5 linked regions of the Xenopus tropicalis genome follow. The protein of the gene in region 1 purifies or fractionates together with the protein of each later gene. This does not show direct contact. Links are inferred from orthologs where the notes say so. Each region holds a gene or a part of one and is shown in the gene's direction. Other genes may lie near its edges. The genes, in order: gsk3a, gskip, prune1, axin1 and nbr1.

Region 1 (6,654 bases):
CCTGGGATTTTATGGATAAAGGGGTCTTTACTTAAAGCGGACCTGTCACCCTTAGAAATAAGTCCAAATTATTTTCTATATTGTTAGTTGAGCAAAATAAACTTTACTTACTCTATATAAATAATATAAACCTTGTTTCCTTCCGTCTTGGAATTACACAATCAAAGCAAGCAGGCAGGCACCATTTTGTGGACACTGTTATGAAGGCAAGCTTTGTATCATGCCAAAATCTTGTTTATGTGCCAGAATGGGGGACCAGATGCCCATGCACTGGCTACACGATTAGATGAGGAGGAGGGAGGGGAAAGTGAGATGTGCAGTGACATCTAGGAAGTGCTGAATGGAAAGCTAAAGTTATTGCCTGCCCCGCCTCTATGCCTAAGGCATAGAGGCGGGGCAAGCAATATATGATTGACAGCTGTGATTTTTAAATGTCTTTAAAATGGGTTTGGATGTGTTAATATAAAAATGAATTTGGGTTTTATGTTTAATTTGAACAGGACTTTTATTATACAGATTTTCATGTCTGGGTGACAGGTCCACTTTAAGTCGGATCTCTTATCTTAAGTCTGCTAAAAAAATTAATTAAACAGTAATTAAACCCAATAGGATAATTTTGCCTCCAATAAGGGTTAATTATATATTAGTTGGGATGAAGTACAAGGTACTGTTTTATTATTACAGAGAAAAAGGAAACCATATTTAAAAATGTGAATTATTTGATGAAAATGCAATCTATAGGAGATGGCCTTTCTATAATTCGGAACTATCTGGATAATGGGTTTCCGGATGAGGGGTCCTGTATCGAAAAAGGAGACAAAAAGGTAAAATCACTGAGGGGTGCCAAAATGTTAAGCACCCCCCCCCCCCCAGTGACAGTAACTGCTTACTTTATATCTGAGGTTGGTTGCCCCTGTTAAAAGAAAACCGTACCAGCCTGGGATAGCTGCAAACAAGTGATCCTCTTCCTTCTCTTGTTTGGCTTTTCACTCTACTGTGCATGTGTGAGCTACGAGAAGGAATAGGACTGCTCTCTTGCAGCCATCCCAGGCTGGTGCAGTTTTCTCCTTACAGGAGTGCCAGCCCAGGGTATAAGTAGTTACAGTCACTGGGGGGTGCCTTACATTTTCGAACCCCCTGGTGATTGTACCTTTCCTTCTTGTTTAATATCCAGAGATTCCCCCGGACCTTGGCGATTCACTGACCCAGCCAGTAAAAATAGTATTTGATGCCAATGTTATTAATACTGACAATTAAGGTTTTTTATTATAAGTTTCCAGAAAAGGCACCCTTTTAAGACCCTGCAATTATAGACTCTATCCCATTCCCAAGAAATGTCTGTCCCTGGAAATGTCTTTTTAAAATGTCCAGCTGCACGTTTGATCCCATTTACACTCCCAAAATTTGAAAATTGTAAATGGGGACAAAAAATAAGTCATAGTGCAGGGTAATTTTTTTTTTTTACCATGACTATTTTGTGACCATACTCCCTAAATACCACACCCATTTTACAAAATCTGGCAGGTTATGTAAAGTTTGAACACATTTCTGGGGGGCTTTGAGGTCTCCATTATGTGTTATTACTATATTGCTAATGAAGGTGAAATTTCCCTGCAAGTCTCTGTTCCCCTGAAAGACCTAGTTTATGTTATTAGTTATAATTGTATCTAAGTGCAGGTGTTGAATATTCTGGGCTCTCTGCCAAAAGCTACTTATCTAGTTTAGTTTTAGAAACTTTGATCTCCTGCACTAAATGGCAGAAAATGATACAAAGGTAAATGGGGGGACATTTCCAGAGGTGTCAATTCTCAAATTTTGGGAGTGTCCCAATTTACCTGGGACTGTGCTATTAAAATTGTGACAGTTGTGAAGTATGCATTTGTGGCCATACAGACTAGGGGTGTATTTATTAACATTAAAGACAAACATCACTGGTGATGTTGCCCATAGCAACCATTCAGCAATTAGATTTCAATGGACACCTACAAGTTAGAAAGCAAAGATCTGAGTCATTGGAGACAAACGTCATCGGTGATGTTGCCCATAGCAGTGTTAATAAATAATCCCCCTAGTCTTTTCTATGTATAATTTGTAGGGGGGTTGACACCTTTTGCATTTTCTCTGTCTGCAGAAAATACAATAGAGATAACACCAATATGGTGCCAAACTGCTCTTGCAATTGACTAATTACAGCTGCCTGCTGAGTGGATTTTGAGTAGAATGCCAAGTCAATGGCTGCCGGGCCCATGATTTTTTTGTATAGTGGAGTTCTCTCCTGATGGAAAATCACATTGATATTGAGTACCATTAATACTTCGTAAAATACAGGCCATAAAACAGTGTATTGTGTGATGCTGGCAGCTGTGGCATAACTGACATGACTGTGACTGAAATGCATATGTGAAACACTAGAACCATTTTACAGTTGTTGTACTTATGGCTTTCAAGCTTTATTTATATATATATATAATATATTTTTTTTTTTTTTTTACTGTGCATTGATTCCATGAAAGGTATTGGTGCAGGGCCAGACTAGCAATCTGTGGGTTCTGGCAAACACCAGAGGGGTTGCTGTAAGAGTTCAGTCATTATTTAATACATCCCTCTTATATAGTCTATTCCTAACGAACGTCTATTTTGAATTCCCGCGCATTTCTTCCACATCCGCCCTTTTTTGATAAACTAGTAGTCGATATGTTGCCCAAAACGCATATGGCGCTTACTCACTTCCGCCCCAATTTACAACTAGAGTCCCAGTCTCCCACACATCCGTATTCCTGGCCCTAGTTCGACGGCTGCCGAAGAGTGGGCCTTTTAGTTATTGTTCGATACTAGATACATATTGCCTAAGAGACAGAAAACATGAGCAGGTCACTGTGAATGTTATGAGGTAGCCCCCAGCCCCACCCACAGGCAGCTGTTTCCGTCATTAGCACGGCTGGCATTCACGCCACTTCTGCTCTAACGCGGGGGCATGTGGTAGTTGTAGTTTCCGCCCCCCGGACCCCCGCATCAGGTGACGCTGGAATCCCATAGTTCCTTGCGCGCACTACCACGACTCAGACACCGCGTGGGAAGCTGGGAGTTGTAGTCCTGCCTGGGATTGCCTGTGACTGGGGGGGCAGAGCGGGCCTCGGATTCCCAGAGAGCCGCACGACGCGGCCTGGACTTCGGAGAGGCTGATTTTGAGGAGTGTGGTGGCGGCGGCCGCAGGGAAGGTTCCCTAGCCCGGTACCATTCAGCGCTTGTACTTGTCGCTCCTCAGTATGAGCGCCGCCAACCGGGCCCGGGGCGGGGGCGAGGCCTTCGTGGAGCAGGTACAAGCGGGGACAAATAAAGGACCCGTGACTTCCGCGGCTGCATCTGGCGGAGCGTCCGTGCCCGGGGCCTTTATGAAGATAGGGAGTAAGTATATAGCGCCATGGTGGCTTCCTGCTGTACAGGTGGGCTGGGGAAAGGCAACAATACACTTCATTCTCAAGTGGGGCGTCCTGTAATTCTATCTCCCTGTTATCACTACAGGGGAATCTGCTCATCTACAGCTTCCGAAGCTCTGGGGCAGCAATGGAGTAATGGCTTGGGCAGGGGGCTCAGGCTGAAGGCCAGCTAGGGTGGGATATGGGGAGACTGTATATTCGTTTGTTACACCACAAAGCCCCGCCTGAAGGTCACTTACAGGGAGATTTGGGGTGACTGCTGCCCTACATATTCCCCAAACTGTTACTGATACCCCACTCCTTCCCTATGTCTGTAACCTTGTGCATTGAGGGGGTCTTGCCCAGTGCTGGACCAACTGAACTGAAATAATACAGGGACCACTGATCTACCCTTGTGTCCAGGATCTGCTGTCTTCTCTGAAAATGTATTGTATAATGTCACCCTTAAACTCCAGCCAGTGACAATGTGACCCAGAGCCAAGGTACCAGGACAAAGGTAAAGTTGGTTGCCGAATGAGCAACTCTTTCCCCAAATGCCAGCCTTGAGGTGGGCAGGATTGGGTCACATTGATGACATACAGGCCTTCGGGACTAGGGACACTTTAATGTTAACTCAATATCGTATTAATATTAATCAATATCTAGACGATCTTAGGCCAGATATCAGACTATTCACTTAGTATTGCTGAGCTATAACTCAGTGGTACGGTGGTTGTCAGTTCAAGCCCATCTTTGTGCTCCAACATTCCCCCCCCCCAGTTTAGGAACCACTGTTCTAGTAGTACAAACAGTACAGCACATACCTTCTTTGAAGAGGCATCATAATAAAAACTTTGTTACAGGTAGAGAGTAAAGCTGAAGAAAGAAAGAAAATTAGAAAAGCTAGTCTACAACCTTTAGCCAAGCTATGAAGGATGCCAAAAGTAAAAAGACATGGAAAGGGTAACACTTTATGGGGTGCCAAAAAGTTTATCCATGTAGCGGAGACTGTGAGTTTTATCTCCTATTAAATGATCTTTTTGCAAAGGCATGCTTACTTTATTATATTAGAGCGAGGTTTTAGCTGATTTGGGTTTTTCTCTGAACCGTATCAGATTTGGCCACAAACACAATAGCCTAATGAGGGCGATCCGACTGTTTGGTCCCAGGCTAACAATCAGATCATAATGTGGGCATGTGAAGTCAGCTGATATTTGCGTTACATAGATCCCATGCACATGCATCCACCAAAAAGTAGGTGGCTTTAGGCTTGAAAATTGTAAGAGGTAATATAGGATCTCTGTAGACAGGCTATTTTGTTGTATTGTATAAAATGTTATTTATAAATGGAAGCCTTTAGGATTAAGAGACTAAGGGAGATATCGGCAAAAATGGTGAAGGAGGCATTTTTAAGTGATTTCCTGGGGTCGCTGCTTGTAATGTGTTTTACACACATCATTTGAAAGGAAAATAAAGGGGAAGATATCGTCGGGCACATTCAGCGCCTGCAGAAGAGATGGTTTCCCACCAGGTGATCAAGCCAGTCCGACATTTAAAGCTGCCGTTTGCTTCTGAAGGCAAATTAGCACTTACTAGTTGTTAGGCTTATGGGGTTACTGGTTGCACAGTTCCAGCACGTCTGACTGGAATCTTATTGACCTAAAGCAAATTATGGTTGGAATTTCAGGTTGTTTAGAGCTCGCACACATGCAGATGGCAGGGCAGTTTAAGTCTACATTGCGCAACTGTTGGCCTGCATGTGGCTACTTTATACAAACCCATAACTGTTTCTCGTGGGTCATTTGTCCACCCATCAATTAAACACAATTGTGCAACGGACCAGTTAGAATTTACTTAGCGATCCATGCTGTGAAACAGGCACTTTAAAATGTTTTTTTTATAGTTATTGGTTCTGACCATGTATGTAGGAGTTGTATAAAAATAGCCTATACTATAAACAGAGTTCTTTTTGTACATGAATGAGCTTGACGGGTAGAGTGGGAATTGTTAACCACTAAGAGACATATTTAAAACTATTGTGAATGTGGACGTGCCCTGGCTGGCTGTGGCCCTTACTAAGTTTTAGCAAAGTTTTCGCTGGTGGGATGGCTATTCGGGGAGATTAGTCGCCCGCGAACAGGGAAATTTGTCGCTGGCGACTAATCTCCCAGTGTGCCAGAGCCCTTTATAGTGTAGGGTCATTGTCACATTTACACAATGGGCAATTTAATCAGTAGCCAGCTAACTGGTCTGGATTTAGAGTGGGGGGGGGGGGGGGGGTGCAAGATACCCGGGAAAACCCTGCGTAGGCAGGATGAGAACATACAAACCGCTTGCAGATCGTGCACAGAACTGATCATAGAGCTTCAATTTAGTAGTGCTAGCCATTGAGCTTTTATTGAATCGCCAGTAAGCACTCCCTAAACTTTGACTTTTTAGATAACTTCTTCATTATTAAAACTGAGTATCTGACCCGTTTGGGGCATTTGCCTATAAGAGAAATAATCCTTATAAAAATAAAATGTGTCCAAAAGTATCTGGGCAATCCATCTAAAGTCGCTTGTCCGTGTAACTGTTGCTGCTCACTTCCAAAATGTTTCCCAAAGCAATGGCAGCTCATGAACTATTCTTATGGGACATTGATTGCCAACAAAACCCCAAAGATGAATTAACCTAACATTGTCTGCAGTGCCACTCATCTGCTGGGGTGCTGTGAAGCTAACTACCAGTGCACTCTCAAGCAGTGGAAATGTGCCCTCTGGAGTAATTGATTTTCTGAGTCCGATACAAAGTCTGGCTTTGGAAGATGCTAGAAGAGCACCAGCCAACGGAATCCTTCCTGCAGGCAGTAAAGTTTGGTGGGCTGTTTTGCTAGGCACCCTGGTTCCATTGAACGCAAACCTTAAAGGAACAGTAACACCAAAAAATGAAAGTGTTTCAAAGTAATTAAACTATAATGTACTGATGCCCTGCACTGGTACAACTGGTGCCTTTGTTTGAAACTTTACTATAGTTTATATAAATAAGCTGCTGTTTAGCCATCGGCAGCCATTCAAAGCTGAAAAAGGAGAAAAGACACAGGTTACAAAGCAGATAATGGATAAACTCTATAGTACACAATGGGATTATGCACAGCTTATCTGTTATCTACTGTGTATCCTGTGCTTGAATGGCTGCCCTCATGACTACACAGCAGCATTTTCTAGAAACTATAGTAATGTTTCTGAAGCAAACACAC
Region 2 (6,724 bases), on another chromosome or scaffold:
ATAAAACCTTCTGTAACCTCCAAAGGTGCATCTGCTGACTCCAGTATTTCATTTAGACTCTAGATAGAAAAATAGTATAATAAATGCATAGTTCACATTGCTTCATGTGTGATATTACAACACTTCATTATAATAAACCTGTAATTAGAAAATTATTATTTAAGGAACTATTAATACTACAATTGTTGTAAAGCACCAATCAAATAGAAAACTAATTTCTAGAAACTAATTGCATTCCATTCAAATTCCAAAACGTTTTCTAAATATTTCAATAATAAAAAAAAGTGGGTTGAGAGTTTACCTTCATAAAAAAAGAGATTTTTGTTAAAAATCAAACGTGCTTAATCAGTTATTTTCCTCAATGTATACAATTAAAAATGAGCTTAATTAACAAAGTTTCAGTGATTGGTAAAGTCTAAGCATACAAAATAGGAAATATATATATATAGGAAATATATATTGCTGAAAAGTAATGTCTTTAGTTTCCATAGGGCTGAAAAACACTTCAGTAAATGCAGTAAAATATCAAGAGGGAGGCATAAAATAGTATAATATGAGCTTATTTTGCAAAAAAACCTGAATTTAACAAGAAGTTAGGTATCTGCCTTAAGTATTGGACAGTGGAGTACTCATTGATTCAATACATTCCACAATCTAACACTTTCAAACAATGATTCAGAACATTATTAGATAAAGTACCTTAAATTTTGATTTGGAGGAATGTAAAAGAATGTGTGTGCTTGTGCTTGTGCTTTAAGCAACTACAGCCCTTTCTTGAAATATTAGAAAGCTTGCTAGTTCAGTCTAAGTGGCAATAAACCAAGCCAATTTAACCCTTTTCCTGCTGGGAACCTTTGATCTTGCTGCACCATGCCATCAATCAAAACAGAACACAAATGAAGAAGAAGTCAAACCAGCAAGTTGAATGGGTAGAAGAAAAGTAGCTTCAGCAAAATTAGAGGACAATTACAACTGTTAAGGTGTACCATGCTAATGATAAGAGATGACATTGGACAGTTCTCTGTATTTACTCCTTGTTACTTCATCAGAAAAATGTGACAAAACATAATGTGTGAACTTAAGGGCTACTGAATAGACAAGAAGGTACTAAGGGTGAAGACACACAGAGCTACTAGTAGCAGCTACTTGTCGTGGCTACTAAAAAAAGACAATGCTGACCATTTACTGATAATTGTCTCTACGTGTGCTTTAGCAGAGGAAATTCTCAGTATTGTCTATGGCAGGGTATTTTCTGGAGATCAGTAGCCTTGAAAAAGTAGCTGCTACTAGTAGCCCAGTGTGTGTCTTTACCCTTAGAAACACTTTCAACTGGAAAAAAAAAAACAATAATAAAGAACTAAACTGGTATGTTCTCTCAAGCAGGGATAACACACGGCTACTGAAATGTGTTTCACTAATAGTCTTTATTATACTTTTACATACACATATTTACCAATTTATTTGTGAATTCTTCAACGTCATTCCAGTAAACTGCAATGCACTAACAAACAGAATGGTTGAGCTGTTTGTAGCAATAAATGTTACATGAATGCACCATTTATCTCAAAAACTATACCAAAAAATCTAAATCACCTCTTTAAGACAATTAAATATTGAGCATCTACAACAGTATGGGTGCATTTTTATGTCTATGGCCATTCCCCTTTAACTCTGTTAAGATTACTATGTGCCACTGTTATAACACCATGTTTATAGAAAGATAATTCATTTTCAATCAATGCATTTCAGACATTGTCATTTACATGGCTTACCCATTTGTCCAAGGGAACTTGTGACAGAGAGCCAGTGCCTTGATACAAGTCCAAAGTGAGCTGTTCCAGGCTGAGTTTTTCCTGAAGAAAGTGCCCTAGATATCGTTGCAGCAGGTACCTGCAGGCCCTTTTCTTGATGGACTCAGAGAAGGGCCAAGGCATGATTACTACTGAATGGGAGATCACACAGCCCTATTAACTCTGTCACCCTAAGCAGAATTTAGGTGCTAATTTAAGTACCCAGAACTAACATACACAACCTGCACATGTCATGCACACACTTAGCTTGTCTGTTTGATTCGCATGCATAACTATTGACCATTACTTATCCATCTTAAACTCGTCATTCATTTAACCATTCACCCAACACACTGGGTATTGCCAAAGTCACACAATATTGCGTATTTCTATTAAAGGCCTTCAAGCCACGTTAATCAGCTGTATCTGAAGTCCATGCTCAGTGTTGCCGCGGAGATTCAGCCCTTCCATTAGTCGGGTTTCGGTAGGAGGATAACAGTGCAATACTGGCAGCAATACAACAAGCTTATAATCCTAACAATTCCAAAAAGCTGCCTTCTCACTCTCCCATAACTCCGTATCAGCTTGTCTCAGGGATCGAGACATAAACAATGACATCACTTCCAGGTTGTGAGAACAACACAGTTCTACGGACGCCATTTTTTAATTTGGCACACAATGGGAACTCCAGTCCTAGCGTGCCCGGTCACGGTTACTTAATGATTGTGAATGTGGCAATCGGCATGAACAGGAAGTAAAGGTTTAACCAGAGCTGCGGAAGGCATTGATTGTACTGTAGTTTGGAATCTGCGTGATAAGACTAATCTCCTTTAACGCAAATAATTACAGGTAAAAGTGTGAAAACTAGGCTGGCAGGAGTCGCAGTCAGACAGGGGCGTAGCGCCTTACTTCTATACACAGGCGCTGCATGACTCTGGAAAATAATATTCTGGTTATAGTTCAGCAATTGCTCTTATGTCCCAGAGAATCGCGATTTGCTTTCGTTATGAAAAAAATACTGGGAGATACTGCGACTCATGCAGGACGTTGCCTGTCCTCCCTGAGAATTGGTCCTGAATATGAACTGCTAAGCAAATTATTGTACAATCTATTGTGTCAGCAATTTGTATGAAAATTAGAGACCATGTGAATTGTGTGTAGGAAGGATCAATATTTAAGCATTTAGTTTGCTAACGTTGACTTCTTTACTTTACAGGTATAGGACCCGTTATCCAGAATACTCGGGACCAAGGGTATGGCGGATTAGAGGTCTTTCCGTAATTTGGATCCATAATTTGGATCTCCATACCTTAAGTCTACTAAAAAATCAATAAAACATTAATTAAACCCAATAGGATTGTTTTGCATCCAAAAAGGAATATTTATATCTTATTAGGATCAATTACAATGTACTGCTTTATTACTGCAGAGAAAAAGGAAATCAGTTTTCAAATTCTGAATTATTTGATTAAAATGGAGTCTATGGGAGACGGGCTTTCCGTAATTCGGAGCTTTCTGGATAATGGGTTTCCAGATAAGGGATCCCATACTTGTACTTGATAGAAGCAATCGCACTTTGGGAGCTTTATCCTGAATTTGAATGTCTCCTGTTGATTATTCATTACACATGAATTATTCATTAAATATTAAAATATGCATTTTAGTATCTCTGTGTTTGTTTTATGCCTGTTTATGAATGATTTAGTGATATTTTAAAATATGGTGGGCATAATGCATAGTGATGGTCAGCATTTTCTGTGTCTGGAGGCTCTCCAACTCAGGCGCTGAATCACTGCAGGTTGAATTCAGTAGAAATGATTGCCAGTTAGCCTTCAGGGGAGATATATATTGCTCTTGAAAAATCACTTAAGGTGACCATACTCTGTCCTTCCACACCAGCTCAGCAGCTTATTGGCTGTATATAGGAGCAATATTATATGATTAAAAATCCTGATAGCAATCGAGCAGGCTTGATTTTGCTGTCTTAGCAAGGACAGGATCAGCCCTTTGATGCAGTCCTCTTCTGATGGCCTGCATATTTATAATTTGATCATTGGCTCGAGGGCCAAATGATCAGATCAGCCTGACAGCACCCTGCTTAAGATGGGCATAAAGGGGAAAACTCTTGCCAAACAAGCAGATCTTTAGGTGTATGAATAGTTTAAGTATGATATGATTTAAAGGCATATGGCACAAAAGCTGCTTTGTTGTAGTAGCAATCAGATTTTTGTGGAAAAGCTATGGGCTGCTTTCCATTGACAGCAGGAGAAAGTACTGGAAGAATTGACCAAAAGAATACCTTAAAGGCACACTTCTCTTTTTATTAATTTTTTGTATGTACAGAAATACCTTATCAAAGCAGATTAATATTTTTTTTTTTTTTAAATACAGTTTTTGGTGCAGACTTTTTTGACTGTTAATTTAGTCTAATCCTATTTCCCTTAACTACTTTGTTTGTTTGTTTTTTAGAAAATGGAGGTCGACTACAACCCAATGGATTTGCCAGTTAACACTGTTTATGAAGATGAGTCTGAATTCAGAGATTTGGAAGGAACTGATGTAAAGGATATGTGTTTAGAGGCTGAAGCTATTGTAAATGATGTACTGTTTGCTGTTGGCAACATGTTTGTCTCAAAAACTCTACCATGTGCTGTGGATGTTGCATACATCAATGTTGAGATAAAGGAAGGAACCAGATACTGCCTGGAACTTACTGATGCTGGGTTAAGGGTAAGTGTTTTGAAGGAGTACAACATATGAAAATGTGTACATTGTGCTACATATTCTAGATGGTCTCAGCACAACTCAACTATAGTGATGAGCGAATTTGCCCATCACTACTCAACTATGTTTTATTGGTTTTAAATTCTCCAGGTCATTGCTTCCTACAGTTAAATCTATAATTTTTTTACACCATTGTGAAAATAAGCTTAAAATAGAAAATATAGGAAAATAGGAAAATTCACAGATCTCCCTAAAAACGTACAGTTTCAGTGCTTCAGTTTTTGCCTCCTGATGAAAGTCCCAGTGGGGACTGAAATGTTGAGGCTTGCTATGTTTATTTTTTTTATTTTTTCTCAATAAATATCATTTTATATACATTTGTATGAAACCCTGTGTGTGTAGGGAGCAAGTAAGCAGCACACCATAAACCAGAGTTGATACCTGGGTGCTTGTGCAGGAATCAAAATGTATTTTGTACAAGTGACACAGCACTCATAGGAATTATGCACACACGTTCAATAATAGAGAAAAGTTTTTGGTTTATTAAATCCAGCGTTTCAGTCTTTATATATATATATATATATATATATATATATATATATATATATATATATATATAAAAATTTTAAATAAAATAGCTAGACATTTTCTTAAGTAGTAAGTTGTCATATATGCATTGTGCAGTCCTCCTTCTGGCCTGCATTGCCTACCATTGTGCATTATCAAAATGCTCCTGCCCGAAACAAAGTCCAGACTGAGCAAGCTAGGAATTTAATGCTTATGCTCCGATTGGCAACCAAGGCAGGAGCGGGGAGTGGTGTTAGCCAAGGCTTACACTTTGCCCACTTACAAGCAATTTGAAGACAAGTATTACCACAAAAAAGGTGTACACCAATATCCAGATTGAGCCTAAAAGGGGAATGTTTAGTTTGGCTTTCCTTTCCCTTTAAAATGAGTATCCCTTTTAAAATGCAGTTTTTGTCCATTTATGAAATTAATAATTTAATAAAAATGGGCTTATTCTATAAAGGATATGTCAAAAACAATTTTTTAATTTTTTTTAAATACCCCAGCCTGCCACCGGATACTTGTATCTAAGTTTTGTGAAGTATTTCGCGGATGAGGTTATTGGCTTAACTGGCACATGTCCAGACATGTGTATTTTAGGGGTTAGGCATGGGGGATGTATCTGGGGCACTGGCAGATATCAATCTGGCTATGGTGTTGACTCAAAAAGAAGGTTAATTGTGAATGCACACAATGTAAAAATAATAAAAGTATTATTTTGCTGCTCATCTTATTCTAATATTGTCTTTACATTTTTTATTCCAGGTGGCTGGTTATGCATTTGACCATCTTGCTGAAGGACTGTGTAGCCAGTACCATGAGACTGTCTACTCTTTATTGGACTCTCTCAGTCCAGCATACCGGGAGGCCTTTGGAAATGCACTTCTGCAGAGATTGGAAGCACTGAAAAGAGATGGACAGTCATAAGTGATTCCTTTAGAAATCTGCCTATTAATATAAAACCATGTTTATACACAAGTTTTAATTTATTTTTAACATCTCATTCAGTTTAACATCTCATTGCAGCACCCACCGTAGTGTTTTCTGTTTCGGATATATATATACATACAATACAGTCTTCAATCTAGCTGTTAGGGATGGTTTTTAATCTTTGGTTGGAATCTCAAATCATATAATTTGCTGCAGGTTTATGTGCCCTGATCTTATCTTCTATGGAAATATTTTGCATATTTGCTGTTTCTATTGAGCTTGCTCTAGCAAAGTGTTACAATAATGTTGCTGTATTGCAGAAGTGACACCTAATCTTGAATTAAACTGTAATTTTGGGTGATTACTGTTGCATGATGCTGTCCTTTCTTTAGACTGCCATGCATTTTGTAATGATTTAATCTTGCATACATATAGCAACATTTCTTGAGTCCTGAATACTTTGGCATGCTCGTGCGTTCATTTGTGTTAAAAAGGAATAATTTGTGGTTTTAATAGTACAGCAAGATATATAACATATAATAATAGGAATTTGTCAGTCTACTTATTTGGATTTATAGCCATTATACCAGATGCTAAATTTATATCACTGTAGGTATATATATTCGTGTTAATGGATGTAAGTTTACCACATGTATTATTTTGACTTAAATCCCCTGTACTTGCTTAGTTTCCATTTGCATTGTTACAGGATG
Region 3 (6,322 bases), on another chromosome or scaffold:
TACACAGAGCTGCATCACTTCCTGTCAGCTGATCTCTGAGGGAGCACACAGCCATCACAAAATGGCGGCTCAAGGGAAAGGATGTAAAAGGGCAATATTTACTGATATATATATTCCAGTTTGGGGAGATTCTTTAATAGGCCACTTAACATAATATAAACTATCAGTATTCATTCTGGGGGTATAGTTTTCCTTTAAAGGGAAATAAGTGGCCAATGAAATCAATGGAATCTGCTTTATTAAGGAACAAACACAACACTAGGTGGCGCTCTCTATATAGACTTCTTTCAAGGAAGAGCTGTGTAACGAACCTGAGGGTGACTGGACTCTGAAAGCGCAAAGCCATTTTGCACCCTGCTGTGCTTAGTGAGCACCCACACTACCTTCATAGGGACCAACTGCATGGCTGGCAGGACACTGTACAGACTCACAGCTGCACCGTGTATTCCATTCTGCTAGGTACAGTATTATATACTGTATAAAGTGATAGGGATATATGGACTATATAGTAGGTTGTAGTTCAACTACATCAGGAGAGCTGCTGCCTGCCAATCCCTGCTCTGGGCCCTTTAGCAGGCAGTAAAAGGAAAGTGTTGGTGTAAATGTTCCTTTAAAGTCCCTCTGATCCTGTCACTGATTAACTTGGCCTGCGGTTTAAAGTCTAGTGCCTGAGAAACGTGATCTCGCCCCGGGGCAGATCCCAGTAATCAAGGAGCAATCGGGTCGGGCAGTTGGCGCGGGTAAGGAGCAACATCTCATCGGCCATTTGGGGCCCTGGGGAGCTAGGGGTTAATGTTACCCAGACTGTCACTGCTCTATTTTACACTATTTAGGTGATTTACCCCCATTTTGGCAATTTGTTTATGATCCATATCGCTCCTGCCATTAACCCATTCACTACCTGCAGTATATTCTCAGATACAGGGAAGGGAGCTGTGTTGCTTGTGGCTTTTCAACATGTTTTTTCTTATTGGTCACCAGGAAACATACGACCGGCCAGTTAGGCTTTCTATGGGATTTCAGGTTTTCACGGTGCCGGCGTTACTTGCCGGTTCTGCATCTGGGACCTCAGGTTCTTTAGTTTGTCAACAAACAAATCCGCTGTATTGCACAGAGCTTATCTTGGTAAATTATGTCTAAAAGCGCAGAAACTGGGACTTTACTTGTCCTTTAATCTTAGTTTTGGTAATTGAATTGGAATTAACGAAGCTAAAAGTAACCAAATCCCTACAGACCCAGTAGTGTATTTTGTAGCAGGATCTCTGGGTAGTAGCGCTGAAAATCACCCTGACGGGGGTATATTTCTAATGTATGATTTACCCTGTCTATGGGCAGTTTTATGCTTCACTTGTATTCCTTACATTTTCTACGTATTTGGTATTTATTTCCTGTTCTTTCCTGGTACTAGCACTGCGTTCTGCTGTGCCACTGGGATTTATCCTGCTGTGTGTTCTGGGGTATTATACATGGAATTGGCACTGTATTTATCCTGCTGTGGGTTCTGGGGTATTATACATGGAATTGGCACTGTATTTATCCTGCTGTGGGTTCTGGGGTATTATACATGGAACTGGCACTGTATTTATCCTGCTGTGGGTTCTGGGGTATTATACATGGAATTGGCACTGTATTTATCCTGCTGTGGGTTCTGGGGTATTATACATGGAATTGGCACTGTATTTATCCTGCTGTGGGTTCTGGGGTATTATACATGGAATTGGCACTGTATTTATCCCGCTGTGGGTTCTGGGGTATTATACATGGAATTGGCACTGTATTTATCCCGCTGTGGGTTCTGGGGTATTATACATGGAATTGGCACTGTATTTATCCTGCTGTGGGTTCTGGGGTATTATACATGGAATTGGCACTGTATTTATCCTGCTGTGGGTTCTGGGTATTATACATGGAATTGGCACTGTATTTATCCTGCTGTGGGTTCTGGGGTATTATACATGGAATTGGCACTGTATTTATCTTGCTGTGGGTCTGGGTATACATGGAATGGCACTGTATTATCCTGCTGTGGGTTCTGGGGTATTATACATGAATTGGCGCTGTATTTATCCTGCTGTGGGTTCTGGGGTATTATACATGGAATTGGCACTGTATTTATCCTGCTGTGGGTTCTGGGGTATTATACATGGAATTGGCACTGTATTTATCCTGCTGTGGGTTCTGGGGTATTATACATGGAATTGGCACTGTATTAATCCTGCTGTGGGTTCTGGGGTATTATACATGAATTGGCACTGTATTTATCCTGCTGTGGGTTCTGGGATATTATACATGGAATTGGCACTGTATTTATCCTGCTGTGGGTTCTGGGGTATTATACATGGAATTGGCACTGTATTTATCCTGCTGTGGGTTCTGGGGTATTATACATGGAATTGGGCACTGTATTTATCCTGCTGTGGGTTCTGGGGTATTATACATGGAATTGGCACTGTATTTATCCTGCTGTGGGTTCTGGGGTATTATACATGGAATTGGCGCTGTATTTATCCTGCTGTGGGTTCTGGGGTATTATACATGGAATTGGCGCTGTATTTATCCTGCTGTGGGTTCTGGGGTATTATACATGGAATTGGCACTGTATTTATCCTGCTGTGGGTTCTGGGGTATTATACATGGAATTGGCACTGTATTTATCCTGCTGTGGGTTCTGGGGTATTATACATGTATATGGCACTGTATTTATCCTGCTGTGGGTTCTGGTGTATTATACATGGAATTGGCGCTGTATTTATCCTGCTGTGGGTTCTGGGGTATTATACATGGAATTGGCACTGTATTTATCCCGCTGTGGGTTCTGGGGTATTATACATGGAATTGGCACTGTATTTATCCCGCTGTGGGTTCTGGGGTATTATACATGGAATTGGCACTGTATTTATCCTGCTGTGGGTTCTGGGATATTATACATGGAATTGGCGCTGTATTTATCCTGCTGTGGGTTCTGGGGTATTATACATGGAATTGGCGCTGTATTTATCCCGCTGTGGGTTCTGGGGTATTATACATGGAATTGGCACTGTATTTATCCTGCTGTGGGTTCTGGGATATTATACATGGAATTGGCGCTGTATTTATCCTGCTGTGGGTTCTGGGGTATTATACATGGAATTGGCGCTGTATTTATCCCGCTGTGGGTTCTGGGGTATTATACATGGAATTGGCACTGTATTTATCCCGCTGTGGGTTCTGGGGTATTATACATGGAATTGGCACTGTATTTATCCCGCTGTGGGTTCTGGGGTATTATACATGGAATTGGCACTGTATTTATCCTGCTGTGGGTTCTGGGATATTATACATGGAATTGGCACTGTATTTATCCTGCTGTGGGTTCTGGGGTATTATACATGGAATTGGCGCTGTATTTATCCTGCTGTGGGTTCTGGGGTATTATACATGGAATTGGCACTGTATTTATCCTGCTGTTGGTTCTGGGGTATTATACATGGAATTGGCACTGTATTTATCCTGCCGTGGGTTCTTGGTTATTATACATTAAATTGGCACTGTATTAATCCAGCCATGTATTCTGGGGTACAGTTGGTAGGGCATAGAAGTGGAGTGGTGGGGAGTAGTGGATTTTTATAAAGCAGGATGAGCCTTGTTTAAAGGTAATGGGTATGTTTATTTTAAGTGCCAATCAGCTGTCACGCATTCGCACGAGTGATCACAGGTGCCACAACAACCAATGGGGAATCACATAGTAAGTTAGGGGCAAAGTGCCCAATACCTGTTTATGTGCCAGTGTACCAGCGTGCCAGTGTAACACACTTCTGCTTCCTATAGGTGTGCAAAGCCTTGCAGCAAGCTACCAACCCACCCCTCGACCTGACCGCCATAGCCTGCCCTCCGTGTCCCAGTACCACCACTTACCAACAAGGCAACACCGCTGCGTCCCGCAAAAAGGTCCTCCCCATCCTGAAAGATTTCCTGAGGAAGAGAGACCTGGAGGAGAGCTCCCCGATATCCATGCAGTCCTTGGAGAACCCGGAGACATCCAATGATTTCTCTGGCTTCAGGGAAAGGACCGGCGACGACAACTTGGAGGGCGGAGAGTTGTTTGGGGATTGTGGGGAGCAGCCGGAAGGCCAAGATGGTTGCCCTGGAGAAGAGCAAAGGAGCAAAGGATTTATTGGCACTTACAGGACACAACTGGACGACGGCTTAGAGGACGAGCGCTCCTTTCCCCCAACGCCTATGAACAGTCTGGTGGAAGGCTGCCCCCTCGACAGGGGTCTCCCAAAACTGACGGCGGAAGCCATTCTAGAAAGGTTCAGCCATATAACTGCTATAGATTCCGAGAGCCAATCAGGGGGCGAAAAGAAATGACCAGATAAGCATTTTTATTCCATTGCATTAATAATAATATTAATAATAATAATGATGATTTCTTAGCTTTGCCTTTTAATGAAGAGCAATAAAATGTTATTATCTACAGGAAACGGAAATAATAGGTAGGAAATGCCAAATTCTCCTTTAATAAGGGACATTGTGATTCTAGCTAATGCATTAAGGGTACCATATACCTATACTACAACTCCCAGCATGCCCTGAACGCCGTCGGTAGTTCACAACCGCTGGAAGGATTGGAAGCAGCCGTCCTCTCGCGCAGACTGTTAACCTTTCTTTTGAGTACTGTTTTGCCAATTGTATGACCTACCTCATGTCTGTCCGTGTGTTATCAACGAGCTCCTCCCACTAAAACACGCCCCCCCCCCCCCCTCCCTTTACATGTACTATATGGTAGCCTATATAAGCTAACAGAAGAAGGCATGATTCCTGTTGCAGGGGTATCCCATTTTATAAAGGCGTTTCTGTTCGTGCTTGCAGATTCTGCCTTGCCCTAACCTGCCATTTTTCTGCTTTTCCCATAATCCCTAGTCAGCTGCCAAAGCCCTTCATTCTGTGTTATAGCCTCACATTGGTTCTCTTTTATATATATATTTATATCATCTACAGTTTGGTCATTTCCCTATGAGACCAAACTGTAAATTATATCCTTATAAACAGTGCTTAGTGATGCCATCAGTTATAATCTGAGTTTAGTGATGTCATTTCTGTCACATGACTCACTGAAACTTGTGTATTATAGCAAATAAAGTACCCTTGTTGAAAAGTACCTCAGAGTTCCATGACCTGTATAAAAGCACTCAGCCTTCAGCCTCGTACCTTTATATGGCCATGGAACCCCTCTGTGACTTATAATATCCCTATATGTTACAATAGGGGGTACTTTATTCACTATATAATATACAGGAGCCACAAATAACCTTTATATGGCAATGGAACCCCTCTGTGACTTATAATATCCCTATATGTTACAATAGGGGATACTTTATTCACTATATAATATACAGGAGCCACAAATAACCTTTATATGGCCATGGAACCCCTCTGTGCCTTATAATATCCCTATATGTTACAATAGGGGGTACTTTATTCACTATATAATATACAGGAGCCACAAATAACCTTTATATGGCCATGGAACCCCTCTGTGACTTATAATATCCCTATATGTTACAATAGGGGGTACTTTATTCACTATATAATATACAAGAGCCACAAATAACCTTTATATGGCCATGGAACCCCTCTGTGACTTATAATATCCCTATATGTTACAATAGGGGGTACTTTATTCACTATATAATATACAGGAGCCACAAATAACCTTTATATGGCCATGGAACCCCTCTGTGACTTATAATATCCCTATATGTTACAATAGGGGGTACTTTATTCACTATATAATATACAAGAGCCACAAATAACCTTTATATGGCCATGGAACCCCTCTGTGACTTATAATATCCCTATATGTTACAATAGGGGGTACTTTATTCACTATATAATATACAAGAGCCACAAATACCCTTTATATGGCCATGGAACGCCTCTGTGACTTATAATATCCCTATATGTTACAATAGGGGGTACTTTATTCACTATATAATATACAGGAGCCACAAATAACCTTTATATGGCCATGGAACTCCTCGTGACTTATAACATCCCTATATTTTACAATAGGGGGTACTTTATTCAACATATATATATATATATATAAAGTAAGCTTTTATGTGCTGCACTAACTGCTATGACCAGCAGGTGGCAGCCATGGGCAACACACAGGCAGCACTATGTGCAGGAAAGTGGCAGTGGTGCCAGCAGAGGGTGGCAAAGAGGCCAGTAGCCGGGCAGACTGGCAATAAGTCAAGTGTTATATGTCAGAGTATTACTTAATAAAGGGCGCGCCTGGGAAGGAGCAGTGATACCTGAGAGGCATCCTCCTTATCCC
Region 4 (6,204 bases), on another chromosome or scaffold:
TCTTTCAGGTTATTGAAAGCTCTGCAGCTCCTTCCCCTGCAGAGTTATTGGTCGGGATCCACCCAGAGTCAAGATGAAACTAATGAATGTCTTGTTTCCCTTTCCCTTCTTTCGCTTCCAGCAGATTTTATTTCCCTTTCAAGAAAACAACGGGGATATTATATTAAAAATTGTATTTAGAAAAATAGTCTTCCGTATCAAAGGCTTTAGGCTGTGCCCCTTTGTGTTGTATTGTTCTGCATATGGGAAGCTTGGCATTTAAACAGCCCTTGGTTGCTAGGGTGTAATTACCATAGCAACTGGGTAACACTCAAGCAATTTTCATCGAATGGGGAGAGCGCCTAAAAAAGGTTCAGCTGGGAAAGCTGCTTGGTTCATCTATAACATATAAGTTAATTTAAATGGAAATTGGTAGTGTTTTCTTCCATGCTGCCAACCACCCAAAGAAATGAAGTATTTGGAACCCAAAAATATACCTGGAATCATTAGGGCTGTGCATGAACCGTCGCACTCTGTTTTGCTGAATTGTTCCTTAATTAACTCTCTGACATATATTTCCCCCCAGCGTACATATCATATGCCAAAGGATATTCACGTCGATCCAGAAAAATTTGCTGCTGAACTTATTAGTCGCTTGGAGGGGGTCCTGAGAGACCGCGAAGCAGAACAGAAGCTTGAAGAGCGGCTTAAGCGCGTCCGAGCCGTAAGTACCGATTGCTTTATCTCTGATCACACTACAAGTTGTTATTATTATTATTATTATTAACATTTATTTATAAATCGCCAACATATTCCGCAGCGTTGTACAATAAGTGGGTTTCATACATTGGACATACAGAGTAACATATAAAGCAATCAATAACCGATACAAGAGCAAAAGAGCTTACAATCTATTGTTTTTGTTTTCAGTTGCTAAATTGCATCAGTTAAGTCAGCCCTATGTTGGGCAGCAGAGAAGCATTAGGCACATACATAATGGCCTAATAGCAATGGTATTCATGCCATTTCCGGGCCTTAGTTGCTTGAACACTTAAGGCTGAAACTGCCCTCCACTGCTTTCTATGGCACCTAAAAGCCCTTGTCGTATGTCAAGTTTAACCTTTTATGTATAAATAAAGCCTTCTTAACTCTTAAGGTGGCCATACATGGGCCGATTCTAGCTGCCAATATTGGTCCTTTAGACCGATTCGGCAGCTTGTCTGTCCGTGTATGGGCATGAATGGCGGGTCTGCCCGACTGACATCTGACGGGAAAATGGGCAGATCTCAATTGGCCAGGTTTCAATTTTCCGTCTGATCAGGGGATTGCATCGACTTGTTGATGCGATCCCCAGATCCGACGGAAAATTCAAACCTGACCAATTGAGATCTGCCCGTTTTCTGGGCACATGTCAGTCCGGCAGACCCGTCATTCGTCCCTGGATCCGATGGAAAAATCATACTGATGGCACCTATACCCGCTGTTTTAATTTGACCATTTGGCCTTAGGGCCAAAGACTGAATTAACCCAATATTGCCCACCTGTAGGTGTTTAAGGTTTAAAAACCTTAAATAGCACAAAGTATTTGGCAAAACACAGAAAAAAGGCATGGCATTGACTGAAAATTCTGAGCATGTATTGACCTGAAGGTGTCAGGGCAGTTACCTTTATTGTCAATGCAGAGGGTTTTGCCACATGTTTTGCAAGCTTCAAATAATGCACTTTGCTTAGTGAATGGCTGCGGTGACAGCATGAATACTTTCTAAGAGGCCGGTGTTTGTAGTAGATTTGATCTGTGTCGCGGTTTTCAACCCAAATTTATTTTTCCCTTTATAGGAAGAAGAAGGGGACGATGGGGATGTCTCCTCTGGACCTTCGATTATTAGCCACAAGTTGCCTTCAGGCCCGCCGATGCATCACTATAATTCACGCTATTCTGACATGGGATGCGTCGGAATGCAAGTCCGAGACGCCCATGAGGAAAATCCGGAATCTATTCTCGATGAGCACGTGCAGCGCGTCATGAAAACCCCAGGCTGCCAGTCTCCTGGGACCGGACGTCATTCCCCAAAACCCCGCTCCCCAGATGGCCATGTAAGCAAGACCCTTCCCGGGTCTCTGGGAACAATGCAAACGGGACATGGAAAGCATACGTCCAAGTCCGGCTCAAAAGTAGACTCTGGTAACATGCATCATCACAAGCACGTCTACCACCACGTCCATCACCATGGCGGGGTTAAACCAAAAGAGCAGATAGAGGCGGAAGCAACACAGCGAGTACAGACCAACTTCCCTTGGAATGTAGAGTCTCATAACTATGCAACCAAATCGCGCAATTATGCAGAGAGCATGGGTATGGCTCCCAATCCTATGGATTCTTTGGCTTACAGGTAACTAAAGGCAAAATTGTTATCTGTTTATATTTCACAGGTCTGTTAGATCCCTAAAAATGAAAATGTATAGCAAATTGTTAAATAACCTTTGCCAGAAGACCTCTCCATTCAACAAACTCCCCCTTCTCTGTAAGCTTAAGACACAAACAGTAACTGGATGAAGGATGAGGAATAGGCAGGAGTAGCTAGCAGCCATAAAGCAGTAACCTGTCTGTCTTCCACAGTGGCAAAGTCAGCATGCTTTCAAAAAGGAACGCTAAAAAGGCAGATTTAGGCAAGAGCGAAAGTGCCAGCTATGAGATGCCTGTTGTCCCTGAGGATGCAGAGAGACACCAGAAGATCTTACAGTGGATAATGGAGGGAGAGAAGGAAATAAGCAGACACAAGAAAAGTAACCACAGGTGAGTGCAAACCGGTTTATTCGCATACAGAATGCTGCCTTTTGGCTGGTGTGGGTGGCGGTACCATATAGTAACATAGTAAGTTAGGTTGAAAAAAGACATACGTCCGTCACGTTCAACCATAATAATAATAATATGGGGCCTTGTAACCATATGCAAGTCATTTTCTCCTGCATGTTTAGTCAAACATGATCCAGCCAGTAACATATGTGATTTTGAGTGTTTAGCCTCTTGAAAGAGGGGTTCGCCTTTCAATGAACTTTTACTATGATGTAGAGCAGGGGACCCCAACCTTTCTTACTCATGAGCCACAGTCAAATGTAGAAAGACTTGGGCAGCAACACAAGCACCATAAAAGTTCATGGAGGAGCCAAATAAGGGCTGTAATTGGCTATTAGGGGCCTCTATGCACACTATCAGCTTACAGGGGGCTTTATTCAACCAAAACTTGCCCCCAAGTCAGGAATTCAAAAATAACTCCCTGGTTTGGGGGCACTGAGAGCAACATCCAAGGGGTTGGGGAGCAACATGTTGCCCCCGAGCCACTGGTTGGGGATCCCTGGTGTAGAGAGTGCTATCCTGAGGCAATCTGCAATTGGGCTTCATTTTTAATTATCTGCAGTTTTTGAAACATTTAGCTTTTTGTTCAGCAGCTCTCCAGTTTGGAATTTCAGCAGCTATCTGGCTGCTAGGGTCCAATTTAATCCAACAATCAGGCAGTGGTTTAAAAGAGAGACAGGAATATAAATAGGAGAGGGCCTAAATAGAAAGTTAAGTAATACAAATTAACCATAACAATAAAATTGTAGCCTCACAGAGCAATAGTTTTTGGCTGCCGGGGTCAGTGACCCCCATTTGAAAGCTGGAAAGAGGCAGAAGAGGATGACAAATAATTCAAAAATTATAAAGAATAAAATATGAAAACATGCTAAGAATAGGCCATTCTATAACATACTGAAGGGGAACCACCCCTTTAACTTTTAGTATGTTATATATTTTTAATTGGCCTTTATTTTTTCTTTCTTTAAGTTACTGAATTATTTGCTTTCCACTTCCTTTCCAGGTTTCAAATGGGGGTCACTGACCCCATCAGCCAAAACAACAAATGTGCTGTAAGGCTATAATTGTAATGTTATTACAACTTTGTATTACCCATCTTTCTATTCAGGCGTGCTCCTGTTCATATTCCGTGCTCTTGTTTAAATCAATACCTCGTTGCTAGGGTAATATGAACCCTAACAACCAGGTAGCTGCTGAAATCCTGAACTGGATAACAGTTGAATAAAAAACGCAGTAACTCGAAAACCACAAATAATAAAATAGGAAGACCAATTACCAATTGTCTTAGAATATCACTCTCTACATTATACTAAAAGTTAATCTTAAGGCCCCTTTTGAATAAAAATTATTTTGCAGTTCTAGTCAGCCTACCTGTTGGATATTTCGCCATTTTTGAGAAAGATATTAATGAGGCAGGTTAGAAAATCCCATAGGGGGTTGAACACATTGTTGATGTGATCCTTTCCCATTGGTACTACCTAGGCCTGGGCTGCAAAAGGATCCACATTTTTGCTAAGCTTAATTTCATTGGCTGTGGGGTGCACATACTAAGTACCGATATTCATGCATAGCAACTGCTTCTTAAATTGCTTTGGGGTGACATATCTCATTTTGGGGTTACAGCTCCTCTGGTGCCAAGAAGCAGCCTCCTTCCGAATTGCCCAGACCACTTTCTATCGAGCGTCCCGGTGCCGTTCATCCTTGGGTCAGCGCTCAGCTCCGCAACGTGGTACAGCCTTCCCATCCCTTCATCCAAGACCCTACCATGCCCCCCAACCCTGCCCCTAATCCTCTGACGCAGCTGGAAGAAGCGAGGAGACGTCTCGAGGAAGAGGAGAAAAGAGCGGGGAAGATGCCGCAGAAACAAAGGTACCGGGGTCACACACACTATTGTTGTTTTTTGTGTTGGGGAGCGCTTTCATTCCTCCAGCCTTTATGAGAATGATGGTGAGATGCGGAGCATGTTTATTTGCTGCAGGAACTCTCTCAGGGTGGTGAAGTTGCAGCCATATATCTGTAACCATATGAGTGCACATACAGCTACAGGGGGTGCTTGCAGTAGTTGAACAGCAGCAGGTTGGGCAGTGTGGCTACACAAGGGTTACTATGACCACTTGATACCATTCCTACCTACCTGTACGGGCTGAGAGCAGTCACCCCCCTCTGAAGGCAGCTCAGGCCTTGTGTTTAGCTGGAGGCTCACTCCTAATTACAGCGTGCCCCTCCGGCTATGTGTCTGAAGGGACCTCGCTGCACTTGTCAGTAAGGACACAGCTGGACTGGAACTGTCCTTTAGCCGCAGGTAGGAACGCTGCTTCATTTTATTTATATTAAATGAGATAAGCTGTTGCGTCCCTGTGAAATGCCATATAAAAGGGAACGTTCTCTGGATGTAAGGGAACTAGCTGATCCCTCTTAGCACCAGTCTGTTGGTGCCATGGGACACCCATTATAGGAGCTCTCGCTTGTAAGTAGCTCATTATCCTTACGCTTTGGAGGCTATGCCAGGCAGTGGGGGGTTTGTGCTCGACAGCAGCCGACTCGCAGGGAGCCAAACTACTGCTTGTGCGCAGCTTTTAAACACATTAAAATTTCATATGGCTTTCCAAGCATTGCTGAAATTCAAAGTTACAATCTTTACTTTCAGAAATCAGAATATTTTCCTCCCACCCTTTTCCCCCTTATCCTGATAATGACGTTCAACTCATAAAAAAAAATCCAGTTACAGAGTTTATAGGTAGTGCCACACTTGGCTGTGTTTCGGATGGCTAAAATATGCAGGCCGGAAAACAGCCTGCCCACTTGTGCTTCTCTCCACACTTGAAATCTCCTCCATGATTCTTCTCCCGGGCCAGTGCAGAATGGAATGGCTGTTTCTCTGCCTGCATTTATACACAAAACCGATTATAGTTTATGGTAAAACTGTAGATTACAGGCAGTGGCATTGTATCCCAGAATTGTCATGTTTAAACCCCTAGTTTCATTGATTATCTCTGGAGAACCCACCTTGTGTCCCAAGGCACAGGCAGCAGCCCCCTTACTCAGCGCTACCCATATCCTCAGTAGCCCATTTAGGGCTTGTCGTGTTTACAGATATGCATTGTATTGACAAAATGACAGGGAAACCCTGTGTGTGGAAATCCCCAGGTCTCGAGCATAATAGTTCCCATAACTGTGTCTCTTGGTGCATCCAGTGAGTAAATAGTGGAAGCAAATTAGCTTTCCTCATAGCAGCCTCTGTGATTTATGTATTTTGTTCAAATATTTTCCCTCATAAAAGTGCAGGGGCCTTTGTGGGGCATACTCAGCGTGCCTAAGGGTAGGTGGTCCTCTCCTGCCTTCTGTAGGTGCCCAGTTGGGATGCCCTATGT
Region 5 (6,204 bases), on another chromosome or scaffold:
TGCAACCCTGGCAGGTCCAGGCTGCGTCAGTGTCTGCATTCGCACTTTGAAATAGCAATGACATCCACTCAATTATGAGTCCAAACTAGCACTTTGCCCTTGTGTTCATTAATTAGGCTTCTAAACTTACTAAATATTAGCCCCTGTATGTTTCAGTGTAGCAGTTTATTTACTAAATAATTAAAGTCTTGTGGGCAGTTTGGGAATAAATGCCTCATTGCTTATTTTATTCTATCAATGCAGAATTCCCATGCAGCCATGCGCACAGATCATCCCCACTGTCAGTGCCATCTTTGTGGATGAAAACTTACCCGATGGAACACATCTTCAGCCAGGGACTAAGTTTATAAAACACTGGAGGATGAAGAACAATGGGAATGTTAAGTGGAGTTTGGATACTAAGGTAATGTGTCAGAAATCCTTTGTAAAGATCTGTGTAAACTGAAACACATTGCTCTTTGCTATATATATAAAATAATGGGTCAGTGGACGTCTGTCTGTAAGAACAGCCCAAGAAACTGGGCTTGTATGGAAAACTGTGCCTGTTGAACATTGAACCTACCTGTGTATATTACTTCTTTGTTAGACCCCCACCCTTTTTCTTAATTTTGCAAACAGTAGCAGTGCATAATATCTCCATACTGACTGGGTTACTTTCCACAGCTGACGTTCATGTGGGGAAACCTGACATTAGCACCCCCTTCATGCAAGGAAGCTCCAGTCCCTTCCCTGCACCCTAATGAGGTGGGAGTTTTGTCTGTAGACTTTATTGCCCCGGCACTGGAGGGGACCTACACCTCCCACTGGCGCCTGTCCCATAAGGGAGAACACTTTGGACCTCGAGTTTGGTGCAGCATCATTGTGGATACCATAGCATGTAATGATATTCTGGACCCTGCAGTGAAAGACCTATCTTCCAGGGGGATTGGGGCAAGTATATAATACTGATACCTTCTATTATGGCAGCTCTGTAGTATACTTGAAATCATTGGCATTACAAGGTATAATTTTTTTTTTTATAATTTTTTTATTGTTTTATAGTAACAAAATAAACATTTCATAAATCGAGTTGTATATTTGTATAACAGTTAGATAATGTTATCATGTGGATACAAGTTATCATTGATATTGAGATAAAATTACATTTATATTTCAATAAAGGGAATAAATAAAAAAGGTTAAGTAATAACAGAGGAATATATTATTAAACATAGTTCAATTTAGGAACACTTGCCTACTACTTTGTTAAGTAGATAATAGGTGAGTAGGGTGAGTCCCTCCGAATCTATAGTCTATCCATGGTGTGCGCTATTGTCAACTTTTCATTTATAAATATCCAGTCGATTTTGGGCTTAAATAGGTTATAATTTATAGTAAGGGATTTCCAAGATCTTGCTAGAACTTGTCTTGCAGCCAGAAATATCTAGTTAATTTATCTCCTTTGTGTATTTGTCAGCCCTTGAGCTGGTGCTCCCATTAATGCGACATATGGGTCTCTTCACAGGTTAACGTTTAGGACTGCAAAGTTATATTCCCAAATCCAATATCTAGTTGCTTGTGGACAGGTCCACCATATATGGGCCATAGTCCCTGAGGGTATAATTATTTTTTATAATAATTTTGAACTACATTCCAACTATACTTTTTTTACATTGTAATTTCTAAAATAATCACAGACCTTATTAAATATTGACCTTTAATAGGATGCAACCCACTGTATTTACTCAGCAACAGAATGGATACTTGCTGATCCAAGACGTGGCCAGGGCCCCCACTCCTGAGCCAATCAGGAATATGAACTGTGACAGACAGCTGTACATTCCATCTGTGGATCTTCTTACTGCTCAGGTAAAAAACTGTCCCTTCTTGGTGGGGTTGGAGGCAATGGTATTAATTTCACCTAGTTATAACCAGTTTTCTTCTTACTTTCACCTTTTATTCTTACAGTTTATAAAGGTGCAGAGTTTACAAAACACACTTTTGGCTCACCTAATTAAATATTTACTCAGTCACACTTTAGTTCACATTTTCTATCTGTTTTCTTGAACAGGCAGCCATCTTTAAAAAGGTATTCTCCCTTCCTTTCCCTCCTTGCTTCATACTGCACATGTGTTTCATTCCCTCCCCCCCCCCCCCCCCAGCCTACAGGAAGGGGTGAGAGATTTCAGTGATGTCACTGTAGTCTTCACACTGCTGTAGGCTGCCAGCACCATATCTCAGAGAAGCAAGCAGATATCTGGGAATTTAGATATGCAGTAAATACTTAAAAAGAATGCCTTTAGACTTACTTTTAATTTATATTAATTTTTCCTTGTCCTTTAAGGGATGAGTTCACCTTTATTCTTTTGTTTAGGATTTGCTTTCATTTGAGTTGCTGGATATAAACATTGTCCAAGAACTGGAACATGTTCCTCATAATACTCCCATTGGTGAGTGCACTTTAAAGACTTTGTATGTATTAAGAGTAGAAGTAAACAAAAACACAGTGGCATGGTGGTGGTGGGAGGTAGGCTAATAGCTTGCAACAGGTATGTCTCATCCGGGTTTACAAAAGTGTGGCCCGTATTCCACAACAATGGCAAAAGAGCTGCAGTTTGCTTTTGCCTGATCTTAAGCAGCAGCGTGCATACAGGACTTAGAGGGCAGCTTAAATCCAAGGGCACTAAGAAGTATTCAAAAGTACAAAACTTGTCTCAGCATAAATTGCACCATCTTCACCTAATCTGGCAAATGCCAGAGGGGCTGCTATAAGATTCCATAGACAGTTGCTATTTATTGGGCCTGTGGTGGTAGCCTCAGTGTAGTTTAAAATGCCAGGTCTTGACTGGGATTCAAAATAGGCCCTGGCATTCCAAGTACAAAGATGCCCAAACAGCTCCCATCTGACAGCAGCCCCTCTAGCATTTGCTAAAATCCACAGATTGGTAGTCTGTGCCTGGTAAAAAAAAATCTTCCTTTCTTCCAATTTCAGAAATTTCCTTCCTTCCACTTTCAGCCATAAATTCTTTGGAAGGATATGAGAGATTATTATGTGGTCTGTTTAAATATTTATCATATCTCACCCCCCCAACAAGCCATTGTTGTTTAGCTTAATGGATGCATATTGGAAATAAGATATCCTTTCATTATGCAAAGGCAGTATTTGGATTCCAGTAGAACTAATATTATCTCGCTTCATGTTTTCTTGCAGCTAGTATGTATGCACCTGAATAGAAGAGAATATTTTCTGGTTGTAATGGTTGTTGTCAATCATACACAGAAACAGACACATTATTTGTATGGTTTTGGTTATTAGCATGCTCACCATTATACCAACAATGTTTTAATGATGGAACAACTCTGAACTTCTTTAGGTCTTTAAACTTGCTTTTATAAGCCTTTAATATCTTATATACTGATCCAGTTTTTCTTTCTAGATATGACTCCGTGCATGTCTCCTCTGACACACGATGGACCATTAATTGAGAATACAGGTTTGGGACAAACAGTTGAAGAGAGTAAAATGACTTTGCAAAAGACAGATAATAGTAAGGCCTTGCATATAACTGAGACAATATATAAATATATGTTGATATATGTTGATGATATGATCATGTGGCCACTGGAGCTCTTCACCAAAGGTTGGTTGTGGCCACAGGAAAGATTTTCCTGTGAACAAATGTATTGGATAATAAATGTATATATAATGAATTTATGTGATATCGGTTTAGTAGCATAGTTTTTCCATGAGTGGGCCAAAACTGCTTATCTGTTTGCAGTGATGCTGAGTTACACACTCAGTGATGCAGTGGTTAGTATTGCTGCCTTGCTAGGTTCTATTCCAGCTAAGGCACAGGCTTATTTATAAAGGCTGGGCAGATTTGCATCTGGGCGGTAACCCATGGCAACAAAAAGTTTACTTTTATTGTTCAACCTGCAGCTGCCTAAAAAGAAGCCATTCACTGATAAGTTACTATAAGTTACTGCCCTTGTGCAAATTTGCTGAGTCTTTATAAATGAGCCCCATCTCCAACATTTTGGTATTGGTGCCCTCTGAAGACACAGGCCCTTTTTTTTTTTTCACTCAGGTGAGTTTATTAAAGGGTGAACATAGAAAAATCATACATTTGGTTTAGCATTGATACATGAAAAAGATGGTACATAGCTTGGTAACAGAGTAAATTGCGAGGGTATAGGATCAATGTTTCCAGAATAACAGACATATTAAGTACAGTTTTGTATGGTTTTTACAGTAGCCTATTTTACTGTACATTTTTAGCGTGGTCATTCACTTATAGCTATATTCCACTTATTCCATACTTTTTCATATTTTTTGTGATTTCCATTTCTTTTGTATGCGGCCTTTTCTATTTTATTCAAATCCTCAACTAACTCATGCCATTGGTCATATGTTGGAGGGTCAGGGCATTTCCAGAGCCTGGTGACCCATTTCCTAGCTATAAATACAACGTAGTACTTTTTGTAGGTACTGTATGTCTGTGCTGGGTAGTTTCAGTGATGTAGTGATGCCCAGCAGACAGACATATGTGATAATGTAGTCTATAGAAACATCAATGTGTGTTTTATATGGCTCCTTTTTTTTCAGGACTAAGTAAGTTTCTCGATAACAAAGAAAACACTGCGGCACAGGATGAAGAAGAAATCAGCGGAACCCAGTTTGTGTGTGAAACAGTAATACGCAGTCTCACGCTAGATGCAGCCCCGGATTACAACCTACCTCAAAGGAAGCCCTCGCCCCACAGTGGGTTCCATGTTGATACAATACTGTAAAGGTCATAGAGGCCTGATGGTGGGAGATAGGCATCCCTTGGGTTTCTGGATATAGGATCTCATACTCAGTGAAACCTGCATCTCATATTCTTTTTCAAAAAGTAATAGGATCTGAATAATGTGGGTCATATTAAGCCATACCATTATTCAGTGGGGACTTTGCATATTAAAACTTGAAATGTTCTTTCAGTGGAGAATATGCATATTAAAACTTGACATTTTCTTTAACAAAATTGCCTCACATATGAACATAAAATAGTTGCATTCATTTGTCAGCTAGGTCACATGACTTTTGCGATTCATGTTTGTTTGGGTCCAGCAAAAAGCACTGGAATTCACTTAAATCCGAAACAAAATCCTAATATGCAGAATGACCCAAGCAGTATTGGAAGGGCTCTTGGCAGCTAGTGGGTTTGGTGCTTTGCATTCTTTCTTAAGATGGTTATATAGACATGACCAGATCCTTCTTGTGAACTCTTTTACTAAACAGCATGTTTTGGCCAAACTGATCAACAACAGCATGTGTTCGGGGTTGCTGTGATAAGTACATAGTTACATAGTTACATAGGGTTGAAAAAAGACCAGAGTCCTTCAAGTTCAACCCATCCAAGTAAACCCAGCACACACAACTTATACTTACCTATCTATACACTTACATACATAAACTATATACACAACCACTAATACTAACTGTAGATTTTAGTATCACAATAGCCTTGGATATTCTGCTTGTTCAAGAACTCATCCAGGCCCCTCTTAAAGGCATTAACAGAATCTGCCATAACCACATCTCTAGGAAGGGCATTCCACAACCTCACTGCCCTCACCGTGAAAAACCACCTACGCTGCTTCAAATGGAAGCTCCGTTCCTCTAATCTAAAGGGGTCACCTCTGGTGCGCTGATCGTTTTTATGGGAAAAAAGAACACCCCCTATCTATATTCCCCTCTAATGTATTTGTACAGAGTAATCATGTCCCCTCGCAAGCGCCTCTTTTCCAGAGAAAACAACCCCGACCTTGACAGTCTAACCTTATAGCTTAAATCTTCCATCCCCTTTACCAGTTTAGTTGATGGCAGTATATATTGGCTGTTGCTATTATTAATCATTCTGGCTTTAAAGGAGAATGAAAGCATAACAGGTGGATTTTAGAGGCAACTAACAGGCAGGGTTAGACTGGGCCATTGGGAAAAAACCTGTTGGGCTCCCATCCTGTTGAACCCTGCTGTCTGCCCACAAACCAGCCAAACTCAGAAAAACTTAAACAAATTAAAGATGGCTGTGTCTTCAACTGTGAATGCAGGGCCATCTTACATTTAAATAAAAGAGGTACAGCCTGATTAACGCTGGTCATGTACATAAATGTGTGGTGCAGAGTGGTCTGGTGGAAAGGGGGCAGGCAGAGGTGGCTGAGTGGTGGGCCCTGGATACGCCT

Evidence for each region.
Region 2: the proteins of gsk3a (region 1) and gskip purify together in Homo sapiens (affinity purification with mass spectrometry; 7 studies listed by BioGRID and IntAct, with this or other methods). This does not show direct contact. The link is inferred for Xenopus tropicalis from reciprocal best matches to the Homo sapiens genes GSK3A and GSKIP.
Region 3: the proteins of gsk3a (region 1) and prune1 purify together in Homo sapiens (affinity purification with mass spectrometry; 3 studies listed by BioGRID and IntAct, with this or other methods). This does not show direct contact. The link is inferred for Xenopus tropicalis from reciprocal best matches to the Homo sapiens genes GSK3A and PRUNE1.
Region 4: the proteins of gsk3a (region 1) and axin1 purify together in Homo sapiens (affinity purification with mass spectrometry; 12 studies listed by BioGRID and IntAct, with this or other methods). This does not show direct contact. The link is inferred for Xenopus tropicalis from reciprocal best matches to the Homo sapiens genes GSK3A and AXIN1.
Region 5: the proteins of gsk3a (region 1) and nbr1 purify together in Homo sapiens (affinity purification with western blotting; 3 studies listed by BioGRID and IntAct, with this or other methods). This does not show direct contact. The link is inferred for Xenopus tropicalis from reciprocal best matches to the Homo sapiens genes GSK3A and NBR1.

Annotation. Positions count from the first base shown.
Region 1 is NC_030683.2:107,337,807-107,344,460, reverse strand, and holds the start of gsk3a (glycogen synthase kinase-3 alpha), read left to right. Parts: upstream 1-2,742; 5' UTR 2,743-3,266; coding exon 3,267-3,405; intron 3,406-6,654. UniProt on the Homo sapiens protein: Constitutively active protein kinase that acts as a negative regulator in the hormonal control of glucose homeostasis, Wnt signaling and regulation of transcription factors and microtubules, by phosphorylating and inactivating glycogen synthase (GYS1 or GYS2), CTNNB1/beta-catenin, APC and AXIN1.
Region 2 is NC_030684.2:89,147,675-89,154,398, forward strand, and holds the start of gskip (GSK3-beta interaction protein), read left to right. Parts: upstream 1-2,540; 5' UTR 2,541-2,639; intron 2,640-3,006; exon of another isoform or gene 3,007-3,043; intron 3,044-4,259; 5' UTR 4,260-4,262; coding exon 4,263-4,520; intron 4,521-5,846; coding exon 5,847-6,008; 3' UTR 6,009-6,724. Other genes in the region: atg2b (autophagy-related protein 2 homolog B), read right to left, coding at 1-59, 1,773-1,934. UniProt on the Homo sapiens protein: A-kinase anchoring protein for GSK3B and PKA that regulates or facilitates their kinase activity towards their targets.
Region 3 is NC_030684.2:138,308,133-138,314,454, reverse strand, and holds the end of prune1 (exopolyphosphatase PRUNE1), read left to right. Parts: intron 1-3,807; coding exon 3,808-4,350; 3' UTR 4,351-4,458; downstream 4,459-6,322. UniProt on the Homo sapiens protein: Phosphodiesterase (PDE) that has higher activity toward cAMP than cGMP, as substrate. Plays a role in cell proliferation, migration and differentiation, and acts as a negative regulator of NME1. Plays a role in the regulation of neurogenesis.
Region 4 is NC_030685.2:15,079,438-15,085,641, reverse strand, and holds part of axin1 (axin-1), read left to right. Parts: intron 1-565; coding exon 566-703; intron 704-1,815; coding exon 1,816-2,369; intron 2,370-2,596; coding exon 2,597-2,773; intron 2,774-4,456; coding exon 4,457-4,702; intron 4,703-6,204. UniProt on the Homo sapiens protein: Component of the beta-catenin destruction complex required for regulating CTNNB1 levels through phosphorylation and ubiquitination, and modulating Wnt-signaling.
Region 5 is NC_030686.2:19,637,463-19,643,666, forward strand, and holds part of nbr1 (next to BRCA1 gene 1 protein), read left to right. Parts: intron 1-243; coding exon 244-403; intron 404-663; coding exon 664-930; intron 931-1,728; coding exon 1,729-1,848; intron 1,849-2,353; coding exon 2,354-2,429; intron 2,430-3,416; coding exon 3,417-3,527; intron 3,528-4,585; coding exon 4,586-4,741; intron 4,742-6,204. UniProt on the Homo sapiens protein: Ubiquitin-binding autophagy adapter that participates in different processes including host defense or intracellular homeostasis.